Linked DNA regions of Diceros bicornis minor. The protein of the gene in region 3 binds, or shares a complex with, the protein of the main gene of each other region. Links are inferred from orthologs where the notes say so. Each region holds a gene or a part of one and is shown on either strand. Other genes may lie near its edges.

The links.
Region 1: the proteins of YWHAG (region 3) and CASP2 are in contact, whole or in part, in a crystal structure (PDB 6S9K), measured with the Homo sapiens proteins. The link is inferred for Diceros bicornis minor from reciprocal best matches to the Homo sapiens genes YWHAG and CASP2. Residues at the interface, in NP_036611.2 of Homo sapiens: Glu15, Asn43, Val47, Arg57, Arg61, Lys125, Arg132, Tyr133, Pro170, Gly174, Leu177, Asn178, Val181, Glu185, Glu213, Asp214, Lys217, Asp218, Leu221, Ile222, Leu225, Asn229, Leu232, Trp233; in NP_116764.2 of Homo sapiens: Asp137, Leu138, Ser139, Leu140, Pro141, Phe142, Pro143, Val144, Cys145, Glu146, Leu150, Lys152, Lys153, Leu154, Ser157.
Region 2: the proteins of YWHAG (region 3) and CAMKK2 are in contact, whole or in part, in a crystal structure (PDB 6Y6B), measured with the Homo sapiens proteins. The link is inferred for Diceros bicornis minor from reciprocal best matches to the Homo sapiens genes YWHAG and CAMKK2. Residues at the interface, in NP_036611.2 of Homo sapiens: Ser46, Val47, Lys50, Asn51, Arg57, Arg132, Tyr133, Gly174, Leu177, Asn178, Val181, Glu185, Ile222, Leu225, Asn229, Trp233; in NP_001257414.1 of Homo sapiens: Leu99, Ser100, Leu101, Gln102, Glu103, Arg104.
Region 4: the proteins of YWHAG (region 3) and CFTR are in contact, whole or in part, in a crystal structure (PDB 5D3E), measured with the Homo sapiens proteins. The link is inferred for Diceros bicornis minor from reciprocal best matches to the Homo sapiens genes YWHAG and CFTR. Residues at the interface, in NP_036611.2 of Homo sapiens: Lys50, Arg57, Arg61, Lys125, Arg132, Tyr133, Leu177, Asn178, Val181, Glu185, Ile222, Leu225, Asn229, Leu232; in NP_000483.3 of Homo sapiens: Arg766, Gln767, Ser768, Val769, Leu770.

What each region holds. Positions count from the first base shown.
Region 1 is NC_080742.1:90,548,439-90,555,490, forward strand, and holds the start of CASP2 (caspase-2), read left to right. Parts: upstream 1-4,040; 5' UTR 4,041-4,097; coding exon 4,098-4,171; intron 4,172-6,714; coding exon 6,715-6,865; intron 6,866-7,052. Other genes in the region: TMEM139 (transmembrane protein 139), read left to right, coding at 1,554-1,888, 2,100-2,499. UniProt on the Homo sapiens protein: Is a regulator of the cascade of caspases responsible for apoptosis execution. Might function by either activating some proteins required for cell death or inactivating proteins necessary for cell survival.
Region 2 is NC_080774.1:8,552,910-8,560,208, forward strand, and holds the start of CAMKK2 (calcium/calmodulin-dependent protein kinase kinase 2), read left to right. Parts: upstream 1-4,297; 5' UTR 4,298-5,294; coding exon 5,295-5,440; intron 5,441-5,966; coding exon 5,967-6,133; intron 6,134-7,299. UniProt on the Homo sapiens protein: Calcium/calmodulin-dependent protein kinase belonging to a proposed calcium-triggered signaling cascade involved in a number of cellular processes. Isoform 1, isoform 2 and isoform 3 phosphorylate CAMK1 and CAMK4. Isoform 3 phosphorylates CAMK1D.
Region 3 is NC_080765.1:3,537,488-3,544,796, forward strand, and holds the start of YWHAG (14-3-3 protein gamma), read right to left. Parts: upstream 3,006-7,309; 5' UTR 2,845-3,005; coding exon 2,758-2,844; intron 1-2,757. UniProt on the Homo sapiens protein: Adapter protein implicated in the regulation of a large spectrum of both general and specialized signaling pathways. Binds to a large number of partners, usually by recognition of a phosphoserine or phosphothreonine motif.
Region 4 is NC_080742.1:68,339,454-68,346,795, forward strand, and holds the start of CFTR (cystic fibrosis transmembrane conductance regulator), read left to right. Parts: upstream 1-4,329; 5' UTR 4,330-4,370; coding exon 4,371-4,423; intron 4,424-7,342. UniProt on the Homo sapiens protein: Epithelial ion channel that plays an important role in the regulation of epithelial ion and water transport and fluid homeostasis. Mediates the transport of chloride ions across the cell membrane.

The DNA.
Region 1 (7,052 bases), on a different chromosome or scaffold from region 3:
AGGCTGGGACAGGGTGGGAAGGAATACTGCGGATACATGTGGAGACAGCCTCTGCAGCAGGCACCACCTTGGGGGTGGATTTTGAAGAATCAAAAGTTAACTGGGCCATGAAGCATATACACAAACACGTCCTACAGGTCTGCAGAAAACAAAGAATTCATAGAAAACATACTTTGGCAGCGGAAGCAGGACACATCATTCCATGGCCACAGCAGTGCTCACAGTGTGCAAAACACCACGTGATCTAGAGAGAGTAAATAAGCCTCGGTCTCTGCTCCCAGGCACAAAATATATTACCTAAATATGAGGCAAACTACTCAGAATACAATGCACATTGAGAAGAAGGGAGAAGGAAAGGTGAATTTAACTCTGGTCCTAAGTACAAAGAGCACTGGGTATGAGGGTGGGGAGTACTCTCATTAAGGCACTACCTGGGGTGGGTGCAGTGAGTAAAATCCAGAAAAATCAAGGTGGGGCAATCACAGGTCAGCCTTCAGCAGAAGAGGGGAGGAGGAAGTCTGAGCAGGAACTGAGGGATTCCTGCAGAAGAGAGGTGGGGCCAGTGGGCTCCGCCTCCTCCCCCTCTCTCACTCCCCCCACAACCTACTTGTGTCCAGTCTGGCCGAGACAGGTGAGGGCGGAACTCCTAAGGCCGGTGAGAGGGCGGGAGGGTCATGGGATTGGGGCAGGGGTGGAAGGAGGGTGTCTGGTCCCTTTGTAGAGTCCACCACTTCTTCCTATACAGAGTTCGGAGAGCTCCTCACAGGCTGGTTTTGGTGTACGGGCTGCCTAGGTATTGCTGCTGGTTGCAGAGGAAAGACAAGGCTTCTCCCCACCAGCCTCCCAGCCCCTGTGGTAACTCCAGGCAGGAAACTTGAAATCTGACTTTACCAGGTTAGGGCAGGTAGAGGGTGGGGGACCCTGGCAGATATGGCGTATAGAGAGGTCAGGTGTTACCTGGGCCTCTGTCTACTGCCTGGGCCTTTGTCTGTCAGATTCTCTCCCACGTAGTTGTGTCCCCATGGCTTTGTTGTGTCTCTCTGCACTTTCTGCCTCCAACCAGAGCATGGGCTGACTGAGGAAATGGAAAGACAGGGTCAGATGGGGTAAGTGGTGCTCCTTTCCCCCTTCTCTTCCTAACAGGGTCAGACTGAGGGCCTCTGACTGGAGGGTGGGGGTTGGAGGTTCAGTGCGAGCAGTGGAGTGAAAAAAGGCAGGGCCTGCCCAGCACCTGGATTCCAGAGATGCCGGTGAGCACCGAGGTTCCAGGCAGTGGACCCCAGGACTGGCTCCTGGATGGTGTAGAAACATAGAGCTGGAAGGCAGACAGCAGGGAAGAAGGAAAAAGAAAGGTAGCAGGGCCATGACACTGTAAACTCGCACAGGGCTGGGAGTCAGAACTCCTAGGCTGGTTTCCTGGCTATTCCACACACACTGATACCCTGGGACAACAGTGTGATCCTAGAGAGAATCACAGAGCTGGAGGGAACCCTGCAGATCATTTATTTTGGCCATTTATTTGATTTGAGATTGAAGAACCTGAAACTCAAAGTATGTCTAATATGGTTACTTTGCAATCTGACCCAGCCATGATGCCAATTGCTAGTGTAGACACAACAGCTGTGTGTCTTTTTACAGGAATCTGGGGAGGGGCCATGGTGCCAAGCCAGTTGTGGGGGCGACTGAAGAACCTGCTTCTCTTCCTGTGCTGCGCCTCCCTCCTCCTGGGGCTGGTTTTGCTGGGCATACGGCTGGACATCGCCCCTGTTGCTTATTTCTTTCTGACCTTGGGTGGCTTCTTCTTGTTTGCCTGCCTCCTGGTCTGTTTTTTGGAATGTGGGTTCCAATCAGTGCAGACCCAGAGCCCGGGGGCCTCAGGCAATGCACGGTGAATTAAGGGGCGGGCAGGAATGGAGGCACACCAGGGACCCATTCTCCCCGCGTCCCTCTAGTCTCTCGGGCACACAGTCTCCGCTTTCCTGTCACTGGTATCAGTGAGAGGAGGGATCAGGGGCTAGTGGAGGGGTCTTCTGTCAGTAGAAGTTAGGAAAAGGGGTCCTTTCAGGAAGCCACCAATGACCTTACTTCTCCTCCCTCAGGGACAATGAAGCCTTTGAAGTGCCAACCTATTTAGAGTCCGTGGTGTTAGAATCACACCCCCAAGAGTTGGATCAACCACCCCCCTACAGCAGTGTTGTAATCCCCCCAGGACTTGAGGAGGGACAGTCTAGCCATCCAGATGGGCCCATGAGAGCCAGACTGGAAAGGCGAGTGGGCTCAGAGGGGTCCATAATCACAAGAAGCCCTGGAAGAGCTCCACTCAACCTTCGGCTTCGGGGAACACGAGTCGTGTCCACTGTTCCTGATCTGCAGAGCTTGGGGACCCTACAGAAGCTCCCCAGATTGGAGCCTCTTACTCCACCCCCTGCCTATGATGTCAGCTTTGGTCACCCTGATGATGATAATGTTTTCTATGAAGACAACTGGACACCCCCCTAAAAGACTTTCCCAGGATATATCAGCTCTCTGCACCAGACCCACTCATTCATTTGACCAATATTTCCCAGTGCCTGCCACGTGTCAGGAACTGTGTTTCCGCCTGGACATCACAAATGGGGACTTTAACCCAGAGGGGAGTCAGGCTATGGTAAGTCCTTCCCAGTTGAGATGTAGGTGGTACAATTTGAGTCTTCAGGCAACATTCAGTGACCTACTCCATGTCCTCTATTTCCAGAGTTAGATTGAGGGTGAAATGAAGAGGTGATCCAGAGAACCTGGAGGAGGAAGAAAAGAAACAATATCTGAGAGACAGCCATGTTGCTTCTGTTTTGGGTGCACTGCCTCTATTAGATCACTTAGGCTTCTTGGCCTTGTAAAGTATTATTACCCTTATCTGAAAAATGAGGATTCCAAGGGTAAGAGAAGTCTGATAATTTGCACAGGCGCACACTTCTAGTAAATAGCATAAAAATGACTTGAACTCTGCTCTTCCGATCCCAAAATCCATTGTGTTTTCAATACAAGGTAACAGAAGCCTCTCAATCTCTGTCTTGGACAGTTGCTGGTGAGGGGTGTAAAACTTCACATAGACATAATGGGGGACCAGTTGTGTCCACAGAAAGGGTGGGCTGAGTGTGACCAGGAATGCGCCCAGCCCCCTAGAGAAGCAAAGCTAATCAAAGTTGTGATAGCCCCTGCTCCACTGGGGAGCAGTCCCCAATGCAGTATCCCCATCCTATCGGAAAGCAGTGGAGTAAACTGCCCCAGGGGATGTTGAGAATGGGTGGGTAGGTGGGTCAGAAAGAAAAAACGTCAGCATCTGGGCGACGGGTGGCAGAGTATCTAAGGATCCCTCTTCAATCACCTATTGTGAAGAGCTGGAGCCACTTGCACTGTGCCTCGAATCACTTCAGCCTCACCCATGCGCTCCGACCGCTAGGGTTTTACCCCGACGCCCCGCCCTACTTCCCAGTTAGAACATCAGATCCCAACAGAACACCAGATATTCTTGAGTCATGTGCTGTGGCTGTGATGTAGGTTTTAGCCACTGGGTGCTGCTCAACCATCGCTGATCCACCCTCCTCGGGGTGCGCTCCCCTCTCCGGCCTTCATTCATCGCGCGGGGATCTGTCTAGCGCCGTTTAGTGTCTCCACCGTCTCCTCACCCCGCTGCCAACCGTTCAACTTCAATAAAGTGAAAAGTCCGACCACATCCGTCTGCATAAGGTTCTTGCAAGAGGCGGGTGAGGAGGGGTGGGGCCGGGGAGGGCGCCGTGATTTCCGCGGGAACCGGCGACCAATCGGATTCCCGCGCAGGACGGGGCGGCTCCGCGGTCTCCCCCCGGCTCCTTCCCTTTCCGCCGAGCGCGCTCTCTCACCAATGGACGGCGCTTCCACCGCGAGGGCTCTGCGCCTGCGCGCGCACCGGCGCAGGCGGCGGCTGGGGGGCGGGGCCGGCCTCGCGTCGGGGTGGAGCTAAGAGGGAGGCGCGCAGGCGCGCTGTGCGCTGGCTGACGAGGGAGGGATGCGGCGGACGCGACGGCTTTTGGTTTGTTTGGGTTGTGGGCGGTGCGTGCACAGCCCGGGAAAAGCGGGAAATGGCGGCGCCGAGCGCGGGCTCTCTGCCTGCCCTCCAGCAAAAGGGGCTGATGGCTGCTGACAGGGGGCGCAGGTGAGTGGGGGAGGGCCCCAGGGCAGGGGAAGGCGGGTCTCAGGCGTGAGGCCCTGGCGCCCCCTCCCCTCGGAGCCCCTGGAAGCAGCTTTCTGCAAGGGTGGGAGGCCGGGCTGAGCCCCTGAGGGGCGCGCGGGCCGCAGGCCTTTTCTCAGCCTTGTCCCTCGTAAGCAAAGACTGCCTCAGCCTCCCTTCGTCCAACCCCGGCAGATCTGAACAAGAGGAACCGTTTCCAGTCCTGCCAAATCTCGGCTTCTCTTAAAGATTCTCCATCTTTTGTTTCCCCTGCTTGCCTTATGAGCATCTGTACTCTGCCCCCTTAAAAACCGATGAGACCTGCAGACCTCGGAATTCTGCCTGATGTGCACTTGATCGGATTGAACATAATCATGACCCATATTGCTTTGGATATAATGACCAGATTTGCAAAGCAGTCAGCACAGGCTTTGGGGTTTGAGTGCTTTGAAAGGAAGGGAGGTTCCCGAGGCCGCATATGTGTCTCTCCCTCTGCCACAGTTATGTCATTTCATGGCAGACATCACCCAGGATAACATTATTTTAATGCCTCCTGGTCCGGACCAGAAGATTAATTTAGGACTTCGGAGCTGGAACTTGCAGAAGGACACAGAATCAAGACTTAAGAACTCCCTTTGTGTCCTTTTCTTCACCCCATCTTTCCATTCTAGGCATGTCCTAAATTTCTAGGTGATTGCACTTACATTTGGAAAGTCCACGTTTGAGACTCCACATATTATGGAATACAGGAAGGAGCAGGTGTGTGGAGAAGGGATAATGCTTCAGATTAAGCCTAATGAGTTATTGATTGAAAATTTAAGTCTAGAACTTGAAAGAGTTAAGAACTGGGAGTCAATTAGTGAATTGTGAGTATGGATGAGATTGAATAGGGAGAGGCTCTTTGAGAGGGGGTTCCTAATGGAATATCAGCATTTAAGGGCAGGCCAAAAGTCCTGTGAAGGAAACAGGAACATTAGGCAGAGAAAGGACCTGGAGAGAATGGTGTCATGGAAACTAAGGGAGGAGAAAGTTAAGGAGAAAATGCTCTGGTAAACTAGGAAGAAACCTGAGTAAACTTGCTCCACCATTGATATTAATCCTAAGGAAATACCCAGCATCCGGCTGCGACGTTACTTGTGGTTGGCCTATTAACACTTACTTTTACTACAGTAAGTATATGTCATCATTGTTACTGTTTTGATGTGTTCTAAGGTGATTCTTAAATGGAGTTTTTAATTTCTCTAGATTGTGTTGTAGCAGGTTTGTGCTGAAGGTTTAGGGTAAAAAGAGTATTACAACAGAAGAGACACAAAAAGTTAAAATGGAGTTTCAAACATCACTCTCTCATACCCAAAATTGAATCAAAGTTGGCTGCTTCCAAACCTGGGAATGTTTTACTGACCTTTTCCTATGCCTTTAGATTCTTTGTGCTATCTTCTTGGGCCTCTCTCAGCTCTTCTAAGACTCTGCATTTCCCTCTAACTATAAATCTCTAACTTAAAGTCAAACCAAGTACATGGTAGATGTATGCTATTTCACTGATTCTAAGATGCACATTTTTCCCCCCACATTTTAACATCTTTGAAATCAGGATGCATTTTTAAATAGGTTTTCAAGTTATAAACTGAAGCTGTTACCATATCCTTTCTCACTGCCATCAGGCCCTTACTGTCATGTATTTGGAAACTGTGACTAAGTAGGCTGGCAAGCTCTAGGTTTATATAAACTAGGCACGTAGATGTTATATACTGGAAATGAGATTCTTTTAGTTCATAAACAGAGGCTGATCTCTTTTCAAACTTACAGCAAAACTAAGGAATCCTTGAAATAAAGACATCCCTAGTAAATGATTTAGCCTTTACATAATTTAACTTGTTAAGTGATTTCAAGTTATGTTGATTGTGTTCATTATTGGCATTTATCTATTGTGACTTTTCGTCGTCTTTCTACTCACTCAATTCTTACAGGATTCTAATCATAAAAGCCATAGTTGTAATTGGTGTAAGTAGGCTAGAGAGAGAGTATGTATGTGTCTGTCTGTCTTATTTTTTCTTCTATTAAAGCTGGCCATTGGCTTGAGTTTTTGCCATTGTATTAAATTATTTTATTCCTCACTGAGAATCATTTTAAACTTAAATCACTTTCAGCAGTCTAGATAAATAATGTAAAATGTTTTCTGAAATAATCCTTGATTAAAATTGGTCTGTCAGAAGAATATTCTTTCTCATGAATATGTGTGCCTGTGTGTGTGTTATTTTTGTCAAGTTAGGTATTTCCCTTGGTCAGACCATTCATCTCAGAAGATGGTCTCAGTTGAACATTCTCCATAAAGAATTATACATCATTTCCTTATGACCAATGTGTTACTGCTTAATACTTCTTTAGTTTTAACCAGATTCAATAAAATATATCTAATCTTGGCGATCATAGGTCCTGTTCTTTTTGCTCTTCCTACCCACACCTCTTCCACTCCACTCTTCTGTGCCAAATCTTGTACTTGACAGCCTTTTGTCTGCCTTTATCTGTAGGATACTGGGAGTATGTGGCATGCATCCTGACCATCAGGAAGCTCTAAAAAAGAACCGAGTGGTGCTGGCCAAACAGCTGTTGCTGAGCGAACTGTTAGAACACCTCCTGGAGAAGGACATCATCACCTTGGAAATGAGGGAGCTCATTCAGGTATCTGGAGGCAAAAGAGAAAAGCCAAGAAAATAAATTGGTTGTAGGAGTAGGAACAGAGCGTGATAAAGTGTGGCAAGGATGTAGAACCTTACTAAGGAAATGAAAATGCCCTTCTTTGCTAGAGCATTTAACAGAAAAGATATATAATTCAAGAGTAATGGGAAGGACTTCACTCGTACATATT
Region 2 (7,299 bases), on a different chromosome or scaffold from region 3:
GTTTTATCGGAACACAGCTATCCCCATTTATTTACTTTGTCTATGGCTGCTAGAATGGCAGAGTTCAGTGGTTGCAACACTGTATGGCCTGCAAAACCTAAAATATTTACTATCTGGTCCTTTACAAAAAACATTTGCTGACCCCTAACATAGAGTCAGAAATGTCCAAAATGCTCCCCATCAGCCCTGATACATATTTTGGGGGAGAAAATAGAAAAATACAGAGCTATGCCTCCACCATTCAGAATTGACTGTTAACATTTTGCCATTTGCTTCAAATCCATTTATAAAAAAAGGCATAAAATGGACAACATTGCTTATGTTCTTCCTCTCTATTCTCTGTCCCTACTTCCTCCTTTGGGACAGACTCATGAATTTAATTTGCACTCATCCCCTCTGACTTTTAAAGCACTTGTATATAAGCTCGCGGCCATGAACAATATAGACTGTGTGGGGTTTAAAAATAGTACACACAAATTGTGCATCATATTTGTGTGTATCGTATTCTGCAACTTACTCTTTGTTTTTGGGATCTCCTCATGTCTGTACAAATAGACCTAATGCATTCCTTTGAACTATTGCGTGGTATTCCATCAAATGACTATAACACATTTCATTTATCCATTCATCTGATGAACATTTAGGACGATTGTTCCCAAGTTCTTACTGTTACCAACGAACGAGTGCGTGTTGGATAACATCAGAAGGGGTGACGAAACCTGTCAACCTTTAATTCGGCCCTTGACTCTCCCCTCAACTCTTGATTCCCTTCCGGCCGCTTGGCAGGGTCAGCGAGACATCCCCTGGGTAACTTTCGGTTCAGGTCTGGGTTTCGAAACACCGAAGGCCCCCGTCTGGCAGCCCTTGAGCTCTTCTCCCCCGCCCCCCTCCCTCGCAATGCTATTGCCCAGCTGGGAGACTAAACACACACTTAAGGCTCCAGCAAAGTAGGGCGCCAAAAGTAGAATGTTCGAGAAGAATATGATGTATTTCACAAAAAGCATCTAAGTAGTCTTGGGGAAAAGCCAGAACTTCATTGGGATTCGTGTAGTTTGGTATATCCTGGCGGAGTCGGGGTGGAAGAGGAACACCGTCCCCCAGCCTAATTTAGGGCGAGCCCTGAGCAGTGGTCAGTGAGGAAGCGTGTTCGGAAGGGGTTTCTCCAAATGGATGGTGACCCGAAATCCAGGCCACATCCACCGGGGTCGCCTGGGGCAGGGGTAGCAGCCCCGGGGCGGGAGCCGGGGAGCGGGGCGGGCCCCCGGGTGTCCCGCAGGCTTGGGGAACTTTCCGCGACTCAGCCGCCGCCCTGCAGTCCCCGCCTGTGGCTAAAACAAAGCGAGCGCTGCCGGCGCGTCCGGCCTGCCGGAGGGTGCCGCGGCCGCCGCGGGGAGAACCGGGGCAGGTGCGCGCCGCGGGCGGGGGCCAAGCCGCCGCGCAGCCTCCGGGGCTCGTGCGCCCGGCAGGTCTCCCCGTGTCCGCAGCTCCGCCGCCTCCTCCGACCCCTCCCGCCGGGCCGCACTTCCCCTCCCCTGCGCCTCCTCCCCTGTCTCCGCCTCCGCCTCCGCCCCGCCGCTGCTTTCCTCTCCGCGAGCTCCCGCCCCCTCCCTCCCGGCGCGGGGCCGAGCCGGCGGGGGCGCGCCCGGGTTTCCAGCGGCCGCGGCCAATCCCCGCGCAGCCCGCGGCGGCGTCGCGCCGCAGCCGGGACCGGGCGGCTCCTCCCGCCCCCGCCCCCCGCGCGCCCGCCGGGGCCGCGGAGAGGAGCGCGCCGCGCCGAGCCGAGCGCAGCCGAGCCGGGGGCGCCGAGCGCGGAGCCCAGGTGAGCGGGCGGGAGCTGGGAGCCGGGCGGCGGGCGGCGGGCGAGGGACGCAGCTCCCGGCGGCCTCGCGCTCTCGGGGCGGGGGACCACTGCCGGGACTGCAGACAAAGCCCCGAGGCCGGCTCCGGGCTCCCCCACCGAGGGGACCCCACGTGCGCCGCCCCACGCCCCGCCACGTGGGGGACGCGGCTCCTGGCGCCCCTTCCCCCGCGTCCTCGGAGCGCCCGGGGTTTGGGGGTGGCCTCCTTGGCTGGGCCGCGCCCGGCCCGGGTGGCAGGGGCGGTCGCGGAGTTTGGAACCGCTGTCTCCGCGGGCGGGGGCAGTCAAGGATGCTGGAGGCGGCCTAGGCCCACCCCCGACGTTTGACAGGTGGGGAAACTAGAGCGCGCAGGGGACAAGGCCACCGGACTTGGAGCATATCACCCCCGCACCGCGCGTGTCTTGGGGGCAAACCCAGGCCCTGGGGGCTTGGACATCAGGCGGCAGGACCCCAGAGCAGCACTTGCGGGGCCCTTTGCCCCCGCCCCCCTTCTCGCAGCCGGAACCTCACAGCCTTGGTCCTTTTGACCTAAATTCACCTCGGGGACGCAGCTCCGCTGTGAACGCAGAGAGGTGCCTTCACTGGCACCCTCCGCCTGCCTCCCGGGGACGCGGGGTGCTGGGCCCAACCCCGCTCTGCATGCCTGGGGTGCCACTCGCTCCAGCCTCGAGCTTTTCCTGGCTTCCCCCACCCCCTGCACTGCCCAGTTTGGGAAGCCGGGTGTTTTCACAGCTCTGCCAGCTGCCCTGCTGCTCTCACTTGGCGCTGAAGAGCTTGCACCTCTGCCCCATATCCCGCAGAAGGTTGGGGCAGACGGCATCTCAGTGGCAGTCAGCAAGAGAGGGGCGCGTTGGCCTCGGGATGGGACATGCAGGGTCCTTTTCCTTAGAGGCAACTTTTACCTTCCTCGGTCTGGAAGTCTCCACAATCCTAGAGATAGAAACTTCTTGTGCCCTAGAGCTGTGCTGTCATTCACCACTCCCCCGCCCCTGCCCCTGCCCCCAGGGGAGAAAAGAGGATAGACTTAGGTCCCCATAGGCTGCCTTGTTGCTAGGGGAGGCAGGGGCAGCAACAAGGGGAGGGCTTTGGGGGAGTTAGACTGCTTCTCCCAAACCACCCCACAAAAACATGCAGCTTAAGAATAAACAGTGTGCATGCTATGCAAGTGCAGCTTCCTAGTGAGTCTCGATCCTCCTTCCAGATGGCTGCTCATAAACTCTTCCTGTGTAGAAAGCAGCCATTCGCAGTGAGAGCACACAACATATTTTTGTAATAAGAAGTAATAGCGGTCATTTGATGAGCCCGTAACTTGGATAATAATATTAATGATGTGAATAACTCATATTTGTTGAGTTCTTGCTGGGTGCCAGATACTGTGTGATGTGTTGCATGCATTATCTCATTTAATGCCTGCCAACATCCTACAAGGCAAATTTTTATCCCTATTGTAGATATAAGGAGACTGAGGCTGGAAACAGTCCTGCAGTGTTGCTAGGAGTTAGTCCCATTTTATAAAAGGGCTCAGAGAGGTTAAGTAACTTGCCCAGGGTCACACAGCAACCCAGGCATGTCAGGCCTTAGAGCCTTTGCACTTTACCACCTGTTCTAGACCCGGGGCCCTTGCAGGCTGCCCTCAGCTTCTTGAGGAGCCCAGAGTTGTTTACCAAACTAGCCTGTGAGAACACATCTAAGCAGGCATGGTGGTGATGCTGATTGGCTTGGGCTTGTCTTTGCTCCCAGGTTGTTAGGGGGCTGGTGGCCAAATGTATTCACTAATAACTATGCGGTGGCCCTCAGCCAGGGCAGTCTCACCTTCCTGGCGAGCACTTGGAAAAGTGTGGAGGTGACTTTTGGTTGTCAAAATGATGCTGAGCACTCCTGGCTTTTGGTGGGCAGGAGCCGAGATGCCAAATATCCTGCAAGCGGGCCAGATCCTCAGCAGACATCCACAGCAGGCATGAAGAATTGCCCTGCCCTAAATGCCAGGAGTGCCTCTGTTGTGAATCCAGGAGGCTCCCTGAAGGAGGTGTTGTTTGTGCTGAGCCTGGAAGGATGGGCTAAGAAGTGGAGATTGGATGGGAGTAGGAGGAAGGGAGATAGGACGGGATGACCTGGCAGAGGGAACTTTCTGTAGGAACCCAGAGTTCCCTCCTTGAGGACCTCAGTCTGGACCCAAGACAGGCCAGTGGCTGTGGAGGCACCTTTCTCAGGAGGAAGGGGTGGGCTGGGTGGGGCAGGCCAAGCCTGTTTTCAGGGCACTTTGGCTCAGATTTTAACATGGGGCACAGCATCGCCTGTACCCCTCCATGAACCGATTTTGTGGAAGGGCTCAGAGAGGCTGAGTCACTTGTTCAGGGCCACCTGTGACCTTCTTCTCCCCAACATGCCTGCTTCTGGTGGCTGTGGGAAGCATATGGTTCCCATTTCCTGGAGATTTGGGGCAAATGCTATTTCAGATTTTCCTTCGGGTCAGAGGGCCTTCACTGCTATTTTTGCCAGATATTTTGCTTTTGCAATAGCTCCTCCCCTTTGGACTGGGTTAGAGAACCCGGATGTGGGGTGCAGGGCGGCCTGGCTCTGTGGTGCTGCAGTGGCCTTCACCCCAGCTTCTGTGCCTTCTTTCCTGGAAGTTGAGGAGATTGCATTGCCTTTTGGAATGGACTTTTCTTCTTTGAGGCTGTGCTTGTTACCTTACTGACCTGCTAATAATATGTGACCTTTTGTGTCTGGCTTCTTTCATTGAGCATAATATGTTCAGGGTTCATCCAACTTGTAGAATATATCAGCGCTTCCTTCCTATGGCCGAATAATATTCCCCTGTATGGATACAGCACATTTTGTTTATCTGTTCATCCATTGATGGACATTTGGGTTCTTAATGTCCATCCTCTTCAGGCGACTGTATCCATTCCTCTGCCTCGGCAGCCCCCAATTAATAAACCTCTGGGCATAAGACATTATCTTCTCACTCCATTTGCAGAGAGAGGGCGATGCAAGGATGGGTCTCTGAAATCAGTTGGGGACCAGCTTCCTGGAGGAAGGTTTTCAGGACTCCCTTAATTTCACTGCCACCCGCTCCTCCGCAGGACTCCTAGCTCCCTTCTAAGCCCATTGCCTCCCCGGTCAAGTCACAGGTGTTAGAAGTGTGATTGTCAGGGAGAGTCTGGATTTCATTCAGCTCCATTCTTTTCAGTGATGACAATTCGTTAAATGTAGGTCCCCGTGTGATTTTCTTGGTATATATTTTGTGAAACTTCTGCCGGGTAAGTAAATCCACAAAGTAGAGAAAGCCTCACCAGACAAATCGAGCCGTAACTCGGTGGCCGGGCCTGGAGTCGGCTCAGTCTCTCCTGATAGCTTTGCCAGGAATGCCCACCACGGACCGACCGGAAATGGAGCAGCGTGAAAACAGAGCTGGGAGGGAGCCCAGAAAAGATGGGGCATCAGCCCCTCTCAGTTGACCTGGGGAAGGTGGAGCGCAGAGAGGAAGGGAAATCACGATCTTTTCATTTGTTGACTAGGAGCCGAGCTGTGGGCTGGGCACTTTCATATAGAGGATGGATGCTACAGCTGCCTGCTAGGTAAGCCAGGGTGGCTCCATTTTATAGAAGAGAAAATCAACCCTCAGGTCCCGTAGGATCCTGACACACCCTCTAATCCCGTGCTCTTGTGTCTCCCTCGCTCTCCTTATGCTGGCAAAGGATGCCCATTTTCTCATGGAGTAGAATCCACCCTCTCCAGGCGGTTATGGTGCAGAAATAATTTCTGAATGGTTTTGCTCTCTGAAAAATAGGATTTTGAATGATTATTTGTTCTTTCTTCCCTGATTGCATCGCTGCCTCAACAAAACCAAAAAAAATAGCATATTTAAAAGGAGGTGAGTGCTCTTCGACTTCCTAGGGAAGACCTCTGGCTCTGGCATTCCCTGCTGGGGGATGGTAGTGACCAAAATGGGGAAGGAGTTATTTTAGCCACCAGTGTTCTCAGTTTCTGTCCTGTTTGTAGTGTTGCCACTGAATTTTTTTTCTTCAATTATGAAACATTTTAAGCGTAGAGAAAAGCCAGAGTTTTGTTTTGTTTTGTTTGACTGGCTGGTTTTTTTGGAAGGCTGGAAGGAGGCCCAGGAGGTGATGGAAACAGGGCAGAGCAGGGCGCTGCGCTGTACTTAGCAATGGCTCTGGAACCTTCATGGTCTTTCATGGAACCCACACTTTTTGGGGGGGCTGGTGACAAGGAACGCTGGAACTTGGTCCCTGTCCCCAAGAAGCTCCCAGGTAAGTGGTCTGTGAACTATTGGGGAGTGCTTTGGAAAAGATAAACAGTTCTAGCATTTTTCCCTTTTGAAAAGGAGAGAAAGAAAATAGGAAGATTCTGTGTTGTGCCCCCACCCCCATCCCATCCTGAAAGCTGCTAAGTAACTATTTTTATGTTGTCTCTTTTTATCCTCTTGGCTTCTGTAAATAGTTGAGAGATGGCAGTTGCAGAGATAAAAATGCTAATTCTAACCTGGAGAGGAGAGAGGATGGTTCCCCAAGAAAATGCGCCCCTCCCCAGGCCAAAGTCTTGCCCCTCTGCCCGCTTGGCTTGGGCATGAGATAGGAAGTGAGTAGATGGGGAAGGGGCATTGTGGGTGGTGCCTGAGATAACCTTCTGCTGGAGGAGTTTAAATGGGGAACTAGTGGTTGGGGCAGGGGGCAGGGTGTGGAGGAAGGGACACTTCCCTTATGGGTTTTAAAGGTTTTTATTGGGATTTTGCCTTCAGGGCCTCTGGTGGAAAGAGATTTTATTTAGATTCATTTCAGACGATGCTCCCACGCTCTGGGTCCAGGTGTTGGGACAGGGTTGGACCCCCAGAGCCGTGCCTGCGCTGGCTGGGGTTCCTTTGTGCTGGAGGCTGGGGAGGGAGAGAGCTCGAGTTAGCATTACCTCCAAATGGCAGGGAAGAGGGAGGGAGGAGGGCCGTGGGTGGCCAAGGCACGGATGCTGTGGATGCCGAGCCGGCCCCCTCTATCTCTGATGTGCCAAGCTGCAGAATGTTGAAGTCGAAGTCTTTCTTTTCATTACAAATTGAAATTTCAGTTGTTTCCCTGTGTCTTCCTTTGGTTCAGTGAAAGCCTGGGAGGAATTCAGTGGGAGAAGAGGAAGGAAGTGAGGTGGTTCCTACCTCCCTTGTCTAGATACCCGGCCCCCACTTGCCCACACCTTCACACTTTCTCACTCTTCAAGGCAGGGCCACCAGCCCATACCTGGCTTTCGATACCTGGATGTGTGATTGGGGCCGCTCTCTCCGTGATCCTTTGTCATTGACAGAACAATAGCTCCTCAGAGCTCTTAAAACGTTGAGCTTCTTGCTCTGTAAGTGTCCTGGGCCGCAGGGGACACCTGGTTCTCACCCCAGCCTGGCCTCAAACCAGGTCCTCTCACCTCCCTGGGTCTCCGG
Region 3 (7,309 bases):
ATAGTATTGTCTAGTAAGTAGGAGACCTCTCCGTGTTCACTCTCCTTAAACGCAAGACTACACAGTTATCTTTTAAGACTAAACTACTCCTTCCCTCCTTTTCAAAATACTGCATGTTATTTTTATCCTGGCCATCCACATACAAGTATCACGCCGTACAGGTCCCAACAGTGTTATTACTACGATAATTTCATTAAATGCAAATAAATTTAATCCCTTTATCAACAGGATGATTTCAGCTTCAGAAGAAAGCTTACTTCAGTGGTAGGACTATTTTCTTTGTATCTTCCTGTATTTTCAAAATTCTCCAGCAGAGGAAGAAACAAAGTTCTATAAATTGTTACCATTTTGGGGCACTTACTACATTTCTTCTTTAATTCTCACAACTTTTTCAAGTAGGTATTGACCCATTTTACAGATGAGGAAAACGAGGGCCAGAGGGGAGCCTAATTCCTCCAAGTCACAGTAAACAGGTTTGAAAAAGGTCTGCTTTATCTTATAAAATGTTCTTTCCTCCATACCCTGTCAAGCAGCAGAAGCAAAAATATAGCAAAAAAGAACTTTTCCAAATCTCAACCTAAGGTGTTTTGTAACAGATTCTCATTCCCTAACATTTCCTGAAAATGATCCAGCAGGAAGTCATTTTTAAAGGTTTTTATTAAAAGTTGCCAAGTTAATAATTTGCAATGAACCCAAGTATACAGCCCGCCCCTGCACTATCATTAAAATATTGTTTAAAATTTCTATCTTTATTCCATCATTGCCCCATTTTAATCGTGAGATGAATGTTTAAAAATAGAAATGTATTTATAAACTTCGAGAAAACTAGAAATAGCAAGGCGAATAGGCATACCTAAAGGTCACTGATTTGCATATCTAAGGGTAAATGAAATTCTTATTTTTTGGACCAATTCTTTTCTGGTGGAAGATGAAGTGCTCAATTCCACCTGGCTAATCTGTTAATCTCTGCATTACCTTGGACAAACTGCATTTGCAAACTCCCTACCAGCCCTTAGATGCACTGCAGCCTCTGTGTCATTGTGTGTGACATCACTGGGTTGCTATGGTTATAGGTGCGAGGTCACTCACTTTCCTGTGAAACTAGAAATATGTAAAAATTAGAAGAGTCTAAATAACACAAACTAAAGATATTTTCAATATTGATATCTATTAAAAGTCCAACATATCATTTGAGCCTTAAAGACAGTGACTGTGGCAAAATATTAAAACAGCAGTACTCCCAATTTCAGAATCAATTCTCTTAACAAGATAATCTTTTTTGTTAATGTAGCTGGCTTAAATATAAAGGCATCAGCACTGTCATCTTTTGGGAACTAGTCAACTTACTCAAGAATTAATCTGTAACACCTATACTGCTTCACTAAAAAGATTTAACATGCAAGGTACACTGCTGCACCCACTTCACACTGGAAACACATTTTAAAACCTTTGTTACATAAGGCAGGAAGTTAAATATTAAGATAGTAGGAGACCTAAATCATTAATTTGCCATGTTTAACTGAATAATGATCAAAACGTCCCCCCTCCTCTAATATCAAACTGGTTGACAGCCCATTAAGTAAATGTGGTGTTACTGACAAAATGGTGCAATACAGGCAGGAATCTGCATCCCAGACAAAATGCGACACCTGGAGATCAGTATTGACTTTTCATCAGCAGGAGGATGTGCTAGGTGTTTTTTTCTTTAAAGCTTCAGATGTATCCAACAAAGCAAATCAAAAAAAAAAAAAAAGAAGAGACTTTTGCCCCTTTAAAATAACTCCTCCCAGCCTCCACCCAGTCTAGGCTCTCTGCAATATGACAAATGCAGAATCTTCTGGAATGACTTGATACTGCCTCCCACCACCGCTTTGTCTGCAATATCAGATCAGAGAGAATATTTTTTCAACTTATAGAAATTTCAACAGATGTGTGCCTGTATTTAAAAAACAAACAGCATATGTCACAAATTGAACCAGTAAGCTAAATTCACCACCTTTATTTTAAGGACAAAACCTACCCTTTTCAATACAAAAACGGGGGGGCGGGGAATGGAGATGACATGTTGAGAACAATCAATGAAAACGCTAGCGAGACAAACGTTCCCCCTTCCTAAAAGCAAGAGAACTTGCTTTGGGGAATGGAGAAAGAGGAGCCTTTTGTTAAGAAAAATGTGAGCAAGGAGGTTTCGATTTTGCACCATTGAGCCCAGGTTTTCGGGAGAGCCTACATTTTTTTCCGGGGGGGTTCTAAAGGATCTGTCAGAAGAGGCAGTGGGGAAGATGATTTGCGGGGAGGTGGGGGGAGTATCAGAAAACCCAGAGACGTGCTAAGTGAATCGGGAAGGCGCCGCCCAGACACCAGGGAGAGAAAGAGGAACCGCATCCATGCGGTCCCCCGCCCCCACGCCCAGACTGGGAGGAGGGGAAGTGGGGCACAAAGGATGCGCACGGCCCCCGCTCAGGTCCCCGGCACACCCAGAGACGCGGCGGCCAGAGACCCCGCTCCTGAGACCAGCCCTGCCAGACCCCGCCCCAGACCGAGCCCGGGGAGGGCCGAGGAGGCAGCACCGCCAGCCCTGGGGGACATGCGGGGAGAGGCCCTATCGCTATCGGGACCCTCGCCAGGCCCGAGTGGGTAAGCAGGGGCGGCCCACCCTGCAGTCGCGACAGGCGACTAGTCCTCGGGCCGTCCCCGCGAAGGCCCGCGTCTGCGAAGGGGCTGGGACGAAGTGGGGGGAGGGGAGAAGAGACTCACGTTCTTCATGGCCGCGGCCATGTCGTCGTAGCGCTCCGCCTGCTCGGCCAGCCGGGCTTTCTGCACCAGTTGCTCGCGGTCCACCATCTTCGCGGGCTGGGTCGAGCTGGGCGAGGAAACCGGGGCGGCTTGAAGGACGGCTGCGGCGCGGCTGGAGCCCGTGTGCCGGAGGGACCGACCCACGAAGCGAGCGGCTGAGGCGACGGCGACTACGCGAAAGCGGCGGCTAGAGCTTCAACCGCGGGACCGGGCGCGAGGCGGCTGCGGCTGCTGTGCGTGCCGCGGGCGGACAACCCCTGCGGCCCCGCCCACGCCGCGTGACGCAGCCGGTCCCGCCCCCCGCCCGCGCACCCCGCCCAGGCCCCGCCCCGGCCCTTCCGCTGCTCCGGCCCCCTCACCCGAGCTCAGCTCGCCGCGGCCTTCTAGGCGTCCCCTCCTTCCCCGCTGTCCCCTAGAACTTCCCGTTCTTCACTTCACTGCGCCCCAGCTTCTCCAGATGCACCCCAGTCCGTCGCGCCGCAGACCCCCACCCTGCTAGGCCCCGGCGCGTGGGCCCCTGGGAGTTGTAGTTCATCCTCAGGTGCGGTGAAACGTTGGGGACATCAAGGACAAAGGGGCAGTCAAGACTACATCTCCCAGTGGTCACAGCGCGCAGGAGGTGGAGGATGGGCGGTCTAACTCCGCGGCCGCTGGGGACCCCTGGCGGGGACGAAGACTGCATCAGTCCAAGCGAGTGCTGATTCACGGCCCCGCCCTATATTCTTTGGGAAATTACCAGAGGAGGGGGCCAGGGCCTCCGCCCTGGCCTCTATTTCCGATATACAGTAACAGGCCATGAGGGGGACGGGGGATAGGGGGCGCGACCCCTGTAGATCCAAACTGTCAGAGTGGTGCCGGCCGGCAGATTTAATTAAGGAGCTAAACCTTGGGGGACTGTCACCCTCCCCTACAAGGTTCCAGCTCCCCATCCCTACCTTGAGGTTCTTGGACCTGACGAGGTGAAAACATGGAAGGATAGTTACCACCGGAGTACTGGTTAATTTGCAGAAAGGACGTAGCTGTCTGCAGGCTGACTGGAGAGCCCCTTCTTGCTCTCCAGGATGGAGTGTTCAAGATTCAATTCAGTTACCAAGAGCCTACTGTATGCCGAACACTGGGCTGTATCTGGGGGTTGACCAACCCTTCTCTCCCCACCTAGAACATACACATTAAGGTCAGACTGACAAATTCTTGCTCATATGCTTCCCTTTTTGACATTCCATGTAGCTCACACACCCCATAGTTTTGACTGCACATTTTACTGACTTCGTTTATTCAGCAATTATCTATTGAGCACTATGTTCTAAGCACTGTTCTAAGCAACGGGGTACAGCAGTGAACAAAAAAAATCCCTACCCAAGAAAAGAGGCAAGATAAAGATAAATATGTAGAGTATGTTAGAAAGTGATAAGGAGTAAAAAAATAAAGGATACGAAGTGTTGTGTATGAGAACCTAGAATGAAGGAGTTTCTGTGAGGGAATATTCCAGGCTCTGTGCTAGGTGCTGGAGGAAGGGGGAATGGAACCCTGCCCTCAAGGAATTTAGAATGTGTTAAGTATCTTTTTAAATTCTTTCAGGCTTGATAGGAAGAGGTTCTGAAAAACTTCTCCAGAGAGATTGGTAACATTTCCAACTCAGCCCTTAAAGGATGTGTAGGATTTGAGAGCAGGCAGAGGACACCAGCAGCAGGACTCAGAGGCAGGTTCCTATCAATATTTATTGATAGGCAAAGAATCCAATGTGTTTGTTGCCTGAAGGGATGGGTAGTGGGGCTGGGGATGGAGTCAGGAGCCAAAACATGAGGAGCCCTGAATGGCAGGCAAGGGAGTGAAGTCTTTATTCTGAAATAAATAGAAAGCCTGTGAGAGATTTTAATCAGGGCAGAAAAACGATAAGATGTGCATTTTGTCCTCCTCAACATCATTGCCTCCTCAGTGCTTAGCACAGTGCCCAGCACACAGTAAATATGCAGAACATATGAAATACAGAAATGAGTAAGTGAATGCATGCACTGTAGGGAGACTACTCTGGCAAGAGTGGAGATGGACTGAGTGAGGAGAGAGTCTAGAAATAGCTCTCTTCTCTCCCTCCTCCAACATAGGCTGTAGCCCCCCTTCTTTTACTACACCACCCAGCAAAATGCAACTGTGCTGGTGAATAAACCCTCCCACTTCCTTCTGTCTTTTACATGAGTGTTCGCCAAGTCATTCCTCTTCCTTTCTCTTCCTCCCTACAGGCCAGGCCTGAACCATTCTAGCCTGGACATCACAGGTCCATGGGAATGTCCTTTACAGCCAACCCTGGTTGTCCACATGTGGATTAAACGTACCAACGATTCAGGCTCCAGATGCTAACTCTCGGGAACTTCCTGGCACATTTCAGGCTGCCTCTCCGGCCTGCAGTCTCCACGTGGAGGCTTCCCTCCAGTGGTTCAGGAAGAGCTGGTCCTGCCCTCCTTTCCCTTCTTGATTTTTTTAAGACACTAGGCTTAAAGCTATAGCTGCCCAGCAGCCCCTAGCTGCTTAGAGGGCTGCTTCAGAGGCATGGCGACATTACACAGAGCAAAGGGCTTAATATTCTGGCTTCCCCCTCCACTGCCTGGTACTACTGAAAGCAGGGAGCAGGGAGGTGGAGAACTAGCATTCTGGCTTCTGCCTGGCTCCCAGCTCTATGTGCAAGGCCTGTCCCCTCTCTGGGTCTTAATTTCCCCACCTTTGAAGTAGAAATTAAACGAAATGAGCACTAAATGCTCCACCCAGCTGTGACAGTCATAGTTCTATATTCAGTATGTTCATCTTCTGAAATGGAAAGCTATTGGCATTCTTTAGCTGTGGAAACAGGGAATCTGTACCTGCAGACCTGGGAGATGGTTCAGTCCCAAGGATTCAGAGGCTCAGCATGATCCCTGACTTTTAGACCAGGAAGCTGAGACACAGAGATGCTGTGTGACCAGCCGAAGGTCACATATCAGTGACTGATAGAGCCTAAATTCAAACTCAGGCAGATCTTCCAGACTCCCAGCAGCAAGGGCACCCTTTCCTGACCAGGCTATGAGGATCTACCCCTTGGCATCTGGTCAGGAAAGGAGGTGACTCTGGTGACTGGCCTGACACAAGGGAACTCTGCAGGCACCCCGTATGGCTAACCCTCCGCCCCATCTCCAGCGCTGGAGGACGTGACCTTTACATGCATCCTCTCTGGCTGAGTTGGTGGACAAGCAGGCCAGCCAGAGACATTAGTGCCCTGCTGTTTCTGTGCAGTCATAAATCACTGCAGCCCCATCCCCTGGCTCCTGGCTTTCCCCTGCGGCTAGAAAGCTCCCTGATTGGTGTGGAGGCAGCAACAGCAGTAGCAGCAACTGCAGCATCTTCAGAAGCAGACCAGCAATGCTCCCCACTCTGTCCTCTGGGAACACTTCCCCCGTCACTGCCCTAGCAGGCTGGTCTTCAGTAGGGGCAGAGCACATAACAGATTCAGAGGCAAAGGACAACAGAGAAATCCCAGTGGGATGCCTCACCTCCTGAGGATACTGGGGCAGTGAAGGAAGCCTTTGCTGGGAGGTAGGACCCACAGGTTGAAGCCTGGACTTTGCTATTGATCTTGCTGGGTGATCTTGTGCTAGTCACTTTACCTCTCTGGGCCTCAGATTGTGCATCTATAAAATAAAAGAATTGGATGGATGCTTCTTAAGATCTTCCAGCTTGTAGCAACAGCCTTTCAAGCACTCTGCCTCAGTGTCTTCCCAGCCTCGCCCAGTAAAAGATCTGACAGATCTTTACAAATGTACATCCCATCTTCTTCCTCCCTTGCCTTGGCTCCACCATGCATGCCACTCCCACTGCATATGGGCCAAAGTCCCTGCTCCTTAGCCTGGAATTCAAGGCCTTTCCTGAGGGCTCCTGTCTACCTCTCCAGCTGCATCTCACACAGGGCATACAACCTTGGCATTTCCCGGCCTCGCAGTACCTTCTTCCAACTCCGGGTCTTTTCAAAAGCTGTCCTTCTGCTGGGATCTCCTTCTCTTCCCACCCCCATTCAATACTTACTCCCTCATCTTTCAGACTCAGACGCTGTGAGTTGAACTGACTACACCCTCTCAGTGCCCTCCGGCCCCCTCAGTTCCCACGCTACATACTTCCAGAATGGAGTCTAGACCTCCTTAATGCACCTGTATGTATATGAGTCTGTCTTTCCCCAGGGTCTTACAAACGGATTCCTCAAAGAAAGAGATCCATCTGAGTCACCTCTGAGCTCCAAACCTTGCATGGAGCAGGTACTCAGGAAAGTTTTGTTCAATGAAAAAGACTCTGCTTTAAGAAAGGATCGACCTAGTGATGTTCTTTCCTCTTGAGAAGGACTTGAAAGTTTTTGCCCCAAAACAAGCGGCTGTGGCCAAGTTGCAGCAAAAACTCAGGAAGGCAGAACTATAGACAATCCCAGGAGCAAACAGGGCCGCAGCCAGAAAGGATGGTCTTGCAGAGGATCCCGACAGAGGATTTTGAAGAAGGGCCT
Region 4 (7,342 bases), on a different chromosome or scaffold from region 3:
GTCTTCAAGGATGTTGTGGGGAAGAAGGGTTATGTATGTATATAAATAGAGGTATGTCTGCGTGTGTGTTTATAAACAGAATTGTCAGACCAAACATAATGTTGGAAGCAGTAAAAGTAATGAAAGTCTGACCTAATCATATGCCAGGACACCTCTCTCTGGGTCTGAAACATCTTTGTCAGACTGTAATGTATATTTACATCCTTGGTCATCACGGCGGCACACTGTGAAGAGCTTCGGCTGCTCTTACCCTCCTAGTTTAGGTAAATTTATAAGCAGAACCAGTTTATGCACATGAAGCTAACAAGGCCTTGCCCTTCTCTTTTTTGGTGAGCTTTTCTTCCTTACAGGGATGACTTTTTTCCTTTCTCCTTCTACTTTTCCAAGTTTTAGTTGGCCACTACTTAGCATGGTTAAAGCCCGTTCTCAGGAAAGAATCTGAGGAACACACTTAAATTAAATTGAAGATGATGAAGAAGTAAAGTATAGTGAAATTTTGCTCTGGTAATATCTAATGGTGAAACCTCAGCCATCACCTGGCAGAGTGAGTACCGTATGACAGGAAGGTTGTCTCTTATAGGTGTTCATCTATTGAGATCATTTGTAGGAAGCACATAGCACATTGCTGAACACATAGCAGGTACTAAATAAATGTTGGCTTCCTTCTCTGCTCTTCCTCCTCCTCCTCCTCTTCTTGCTTCTTTTTAATATACCTTTAAAATGGTGCCACACAATTGGTACACCCATGTTCATAGCAGTATTACTTACAATAGCTAAAACCCAAGTGTTCACTGATGGATGAATAGATAAACAAAATGTGGTGTGTATACATATACATATATATATATGTATACACAATAGAATATTATTCAGTGTTAAAAAGGAAATAAATTCTGCAATATGATACATGGAAAAATCTTGAGGACATTATGCCAAGTGAAATAAGCCAGTCACAAAAAAGACAAATACTGTATGATTCCACGTATATGAGGTACTTAGAGTAGTCAAAATCATAAAGACAGAAGTATAATGGTGGTTGCCAGGGGCTGTGGGGAGGGGAGAATTGGGAGTTAGTGTATAATGGGTTAGAGTTTCAGTTTTACAAGATGAAAAGAGTTATGGGGATGGATGGTGATGATGGTTGTGCAACAATGTGAATGTATTTAATAACACTAAACTGTACACTTAAAAATGGTTAAGATGGTGAATTTTATGTTATGTGTATTCTACCACAATAAAAAAAATGATGTCACAGATGGCCACCTAATCTTCTATATTCAAGATCAATTATGCTTAAAACATTAGGAAATTCTGTTGGGGAAGCATGTTTAGTGGTTAAACGATTGGGCTCAGGCAACAGGCTGTTTAGGTTCAAGTCGCAGTTTTCTTTGTTATTATTAACTCTGCAACTTGCTTGGGAAAATTACCAAACTTTCTGTACCTCAGTTTCTTTACCTGTAATATATGGATAATAGAGAAGTTACCTGTCCCATGAAGATGTTTATAAGAATTTAAAAAGGCAACACATGCTGTGCATTTGGCATGGCACCTGGCATATATGGTAAGTGCTCAACAAATGTAAGCAAGATTATAATCAAATTTTATGAGCTGATATTTGAGCAGCTTGGAGAGAAGAGCTTCACTGTTTCTTATTACCACCTTCCACTCTCATGCCAGCTTGTTGATCTCTTTCCTATTCCTGACATCTCAAAGATACATTTAGGATTCCAGCGATGACCTTCAGCTATATTTGAATACTTTCCCGGTGCATAAGTCTATATTCCCACATTAGGTATGTACCTAGATGCAAATCTTGAACATTATGTCTCAGTTAATTCATTTGTTCACGTCTGCTAAACAATGTTAACATTATGAATAGTAGTGAAGTCTTACTTATACCAAGAACAAATTTGGGATGTCATCTTTTATGATAAAAATCTAAGGTCTTCCTATGCACATGCTTGTGCACACACTTAAAATGGAATATTATAATTAAGTGTCATTTATTAAAATTATATAACTCCAGCAGCTACTTGGTTTGTCGATTTCTGCTTTCTTGTCTCAGTCTTGGAAAGGTCTAGCAATTATGATTTCATGAAACTAATGTGAGGAGAAAGACTGGGTTGGTGTGTAAGTGATTGTATATAAATATATGAGGGATGATTTGATTAGAAGCAATATTACACAATGATAGGATTGATGGTTTGAAATTAGACCTGAGTTCGAATCTTGGCTTTACCATTACAGGTATTGACTTAACTTCTCTTGTCTGTTTCCTCAACTGAGAATTGGGGAGAATGACATCTATTTACATGGTTGTTGTAAAGTTTACACGAGATAATGCCTGGCAAATAGTAAGAACTGAAGAAATAGTTACTATTTTATTTATTCTTTCCAGAAGGAAACTGATTGACAAATATTTGGGGTCTCTTTGAGCCATATCACTTGGTCAGCTTCTGTGATCTTTGGAACTTAATTCTTAATCCCTTTATTGTCACTTGCTCTTTGATAACAAAGAGAAAGTGATTACCAATTCATTTCAAAATGTGTGTATTACAGTTGATGGGTCATAGTAGCAGTTGTAAAGCAAACAACAGAGTGGGGGTGGGGAAGTGGATGGAGTAAGTTCAGTCACATACCTGGGAAAAGTCAATAATGAAGATGGAGCCTCAATGTGTATGTCTTACCAGAGAGAGGAAAACATGGGTACAAGATTTGAAGCAATAAATCAACTTAGAAATGCTGAAGTTCTTTCCTGGCATCAAACTTCATGCAATTTGGTTTCTCTCTTTGTTCTTATTTTCTCTACTACTAAAATTTAGGATAATAAAATTTAAATGTTTATAAAACCCACTTTAAGACAGAAAAAGTATGACCTTGAAATGCAAAGTGGAGCTATAAAAACTTGCTGAACGCGTTCATTAATTTAAATACATGTTCCTGTCTATTATTATGAAATGCATAATTTTGTTTGTACTGTATTTGGGTGACCACAAGTCAACAGTAAGGTAATTCACAAGTAAACACCCTGGCCTTAGATGTAGAGGCAATAAAGTAATCACACCAAAATTTTTACTTTCATTTGAATTTTTCAGTTTAAACTCAACGTGCCCTTGCTTTTACACAACAGGATTAGGGATTAAACACTTGGCTCTTTAAAAACCATCAGACAGGCACAAAATCTACACACCAAAAACTCGGGGAAGGTAAGGTGCCCACACCTGGGAAAGCTTAGATGAAGATGGCGTTTCTCTAAGTCAAGTCAGAGGTAACGCGCTACCTTCGCTGCAAAGACTGCTTGGATTCCTTTCTGTGTATTAGTCAAGATGTTTTGCTGACTGAGTCTAGGAAATCTACAGGAGGGCGGGTTAGGTTACACGCTGTCCACTTGTCATCGTAGTCTCTAACACACACAAAAGCCTTCCTTAAAAACGCAAGCCGGACTGAAAAACTTAGGACAGACAATGAACACATCCTGGGCGGGTAATGGACAAAGCGATAACTCCTCTTACCTTCTTATAGGATTCCACCCCCCGCCCCCATAAGTACATCTCCTAAGAGATCTCTGCTACAGTTGGAGCTCGCCTAAGCCTGAAAAGAACAAAGCTTGGTTCTTCTCTCTGACACTCAAAGGAAGCGCTAAGGTGAACACATCTGACACTGCCGCGGAACTTTCCGGCTCTCTATGGCTGCATTTTGATACAGGAAAGACATATTTTCGTTCCCCTTTCAAAATGCACCTTGCAAAGGTAACACGAACCCGGCTAGGATCTCGGAAAAGGGGAGGAGGAAGAAGGCTCGGAGAAGTTGGCAGCGGTGACTACCCGGTTCGGCAGAACCTGGCGTGTGGGAGGGTCCAGGAGCTTCCCCGGGGGGCTGGTTCTGCTCCTGCCGCTGGCTCTGTCGGTCCTCGAGCGTCGGAGACTGGACCTGGAGAGCGGCCGCGACTGTCCCCCACCTGCGGGCTGGGCTGGGGCTGGACGGTAGGGACGCGGACCTGCAAGGAGCGCGCGCGCGGGAGGAAGGCTGGGAGTCAGAATCGGGAAAGGGAGGCGCGGGGCGGCGAGGGAGGGAAGGAGGCGAGAAGGAAGGAGCGGTGGGGGTGCGGAGGGGGTGGAGAAAGCCGCTAGAGCAAGTTTAGGGCCGGACCAGGCAGCGCCGGCTTTTAACCTGGGCAGTGGGGGCGGGGGAAGGAGCAAGAGGAAACGGGAGGTGTGTGGGGTAGGGTGGGTTGGGGAGTTGGAAGCAAATGACATCACAGCAGGTCAAAGAAAAAGGGGCGAGCAGCAGGCACCGAGGAGAGTAGGGCGTTTGGCATTAGGAGCGCAAGCCCAGCCTGCCCCGGAGGGATCCCGGCGCCCCCAGAGACCATGCAGAGGTCGCCTCTGGAAAAGGCCAGCGTCATCTCCAAACTTTTTTTCAGGTGAGAGGGTGTCCAGCCGAGCTTCGGAAGGACACGTGCCCGTGAAAGAGGAGGGCGTGTATAGGCTGGATTCTGGGGAAAGAGGAATAGTTTTTAAAAAGATGCGCTATCATTCGTTGTTGTGGAAGAGAACGTGGATTTTGTGGAATAAAATAGAAAACATTAAGAAGAGATAAAAGAATAAACTGAAGCCCATTGTTTGGGTAGAGAGCCTTAGCTTAATATTGAAGTCTTAACTACTTGCAACTGAAAGTCAGGCTCTCAAGACCCAAGTGTGCTACTGTGCATTGTTGTTTTAGATTTTTCTAAGAAATTTATGAATTATAAACTTGTTAATAGCAAATACTTAAGTTTGGTTACTTGTTTTCCCCCTTCCTGCCTTGGAAACTCAGATGTCTTCTTGGCACACAGACAACAATGCCATGCCTGCCTGTAGTAGGTGCTCAGGAAACATTTGTTGACTGAATTTTGAACTTTTTAAGGGGAGAGGGGTGAAGCGAGTAATATGTGCTTAAGTAAAGTTTTTATTGTTATGATACTCAGTAAATCGAACAAGCATTTGCCGCAATTCCATTATTCTTCCTTTTAAGAATGAAAGCAAATGTTTTGAAATATCTATCTTAAAAAAAAAGCCAATTTACGAGCTATAAATTTTAAAAGAGGGGTCAGAATTATCATGGAAATGTGAAGCCATGGGAATAGACTCAAGTTATATCCAATTGACATTTAATAAATTGTACTCATCCTATTTTGCATGCGATAAGCCATAAAAGCTTGCAAACTTCATCTAATGAGATTTTTAAAAATAGAGTCTAAGTTCAGAGTCTTAGGCAAAGTGTAATTAGATGTAGCATTTCATATTTGAAGTCTTCTTTGGATACTATATCTGCTTTGTTCCTGTTAAACTTGTATGAATGAATGAATAGGTACAGCTCTCCCATGGGATATTGCTTGACTCATAATTATCCAATGAATCAGCATACTTAAGGTATCAGAAAAGCCAAATATATTATAAATATGCCCATATGTGTGTGTTGAGAAGGTACTCGGCTTTCACATCTTTCTATGTTTTATTCCCTGCATGAGCAATAAGCCTGGGACTTAGGTGCTAAGGAGAGGCCATTGACCGTTGAAGGAGAGCTCCTCCCTGTGGATGAGAGAGAAGGACTTTACTCTTTGGAATTAATCTTTTGTGTTGATGTTTTTAGCACCTTTTGTTACTCCATCTATAAAAATTGGATTATCTGTTGATCTATTTTCCTACTACTTACCAAATCAGAATGCTAACTGGCATAAATTGTAGACTTTTTAGTAGAGCACTTTGAGGAACCTAAATGCCAGTCAGTGTAAAAATGCAGTTTTCAGAAGAATGAATATCCCATGGCTACTTCTAAGTACTAAGTACTAAGGAACTTTCAATGAGCTCATTGTTGATTTAAATTAGATCATTGTTGATCTATTAAAGTTTTTTTTTAAACAGATCCCCTTATAAATTTTAGTATAGTTTAAAAAATGCTCTCAGGTTGATTTGTAAAAAAAAAAAAAAAAATGTATTATAGTGGCTACTAGATTTGTTAAGAGCATACTCATTCCTCTTCTCCAAACTATTTCATAACAAGTTGCTCTAAGAATAGGTATATTTAAAAAAGTTAAGTTCCTACTATTTATAGGAACTGACAATGACCTAAAGTATCAGTGATTATAAACTTCCTTCTGGGTTGCAATTCTGAAAGGATAAGAAATTTATTTTCTGGGTTGAATTAGACAGTACTGCTTAGGGATCAAGGGTGTTAGATTTTGGATTTGGATTCTTTTGATTCAAATCCCAGATCTGCTACTTAGTAGCTGTGTGACCTGAGGCAAGTCCCTTAACATTTCTGTGTTTGTGTGACTTGACCTTTAAAACTTGGAGACTAATAGGACCTATGTCATAGGGGTTAATCTGTTGAGAATAATGCATGTAAAGTGTTTGGCCCAGTAAATGTTGGCTGTTATTATTATTATTATTATTAATTACCATACTTTTACATTCTTTACAATACCACATACCTTGTTTATATAAGATAATCAGTTCATCTTTGTTGAATATAATTCGTGACTTTCAGTCTGTATATGCAATGAATGGGCCTGGTTGAGAATTTAGTTTAGGTAAAATCTCATCTAACATGGCCTTACTAGATGTATAGGAAAAAAGTCGTATGCTTATATCATGTGTTGTTAAATGCCTTAGAATTTAACATTCTGAATATGATCCCTTCAGTCTCAGAGTCATAAAAAAATAAAGCTATTATGGTCTGGGTTATGGATTATATTAAATATCTCTTTCATTATTTAGGTTTTGTTATTGGAAAAGTTAATAAAATTTGGGAAAAATTTAAGTACTTTCTTAATTTTGCATGAGTTTCACATCAAGTACAAAATCTGAAGTGTCGTAATGCTTATATATGTATTTTAATAAACATAATCTAAAAAAGAATTTTAACACAAAATTTAAAATAGTTTATGAATATCATAGAAAACAAGTAGATTAACTTAAAGCTTTTATGAAATAGGAAGATGTTTTTGAACTAGAGGTGATATATTTGCATAGAATTTATGATTCATATACAGTGACAGTGATTTATAAATGTTTACCAACAGAGATGATGTTTTTCATTTTTGAGCAATTTTCCAAGTTTACATTTTCTTTTCTTTTTTTTTTTTCGTGAGGAAGATTGTCCCTGAGCTAACATCTGTGCCCATCTTCCTCTAATTTGTATGTGGGACACTGCCACAGCACGGCTTGATGAGCGATGTAAGTCCATGCCCGGGATCCGAACCTGTGAACCCCGAGCTGCCAAAGTGGAGTGTGCAAACTTAACCACTATGCACCCAGGCCAGCCCCCCAAAGTTTACATTTTCTGATAACTTTTAAGATAG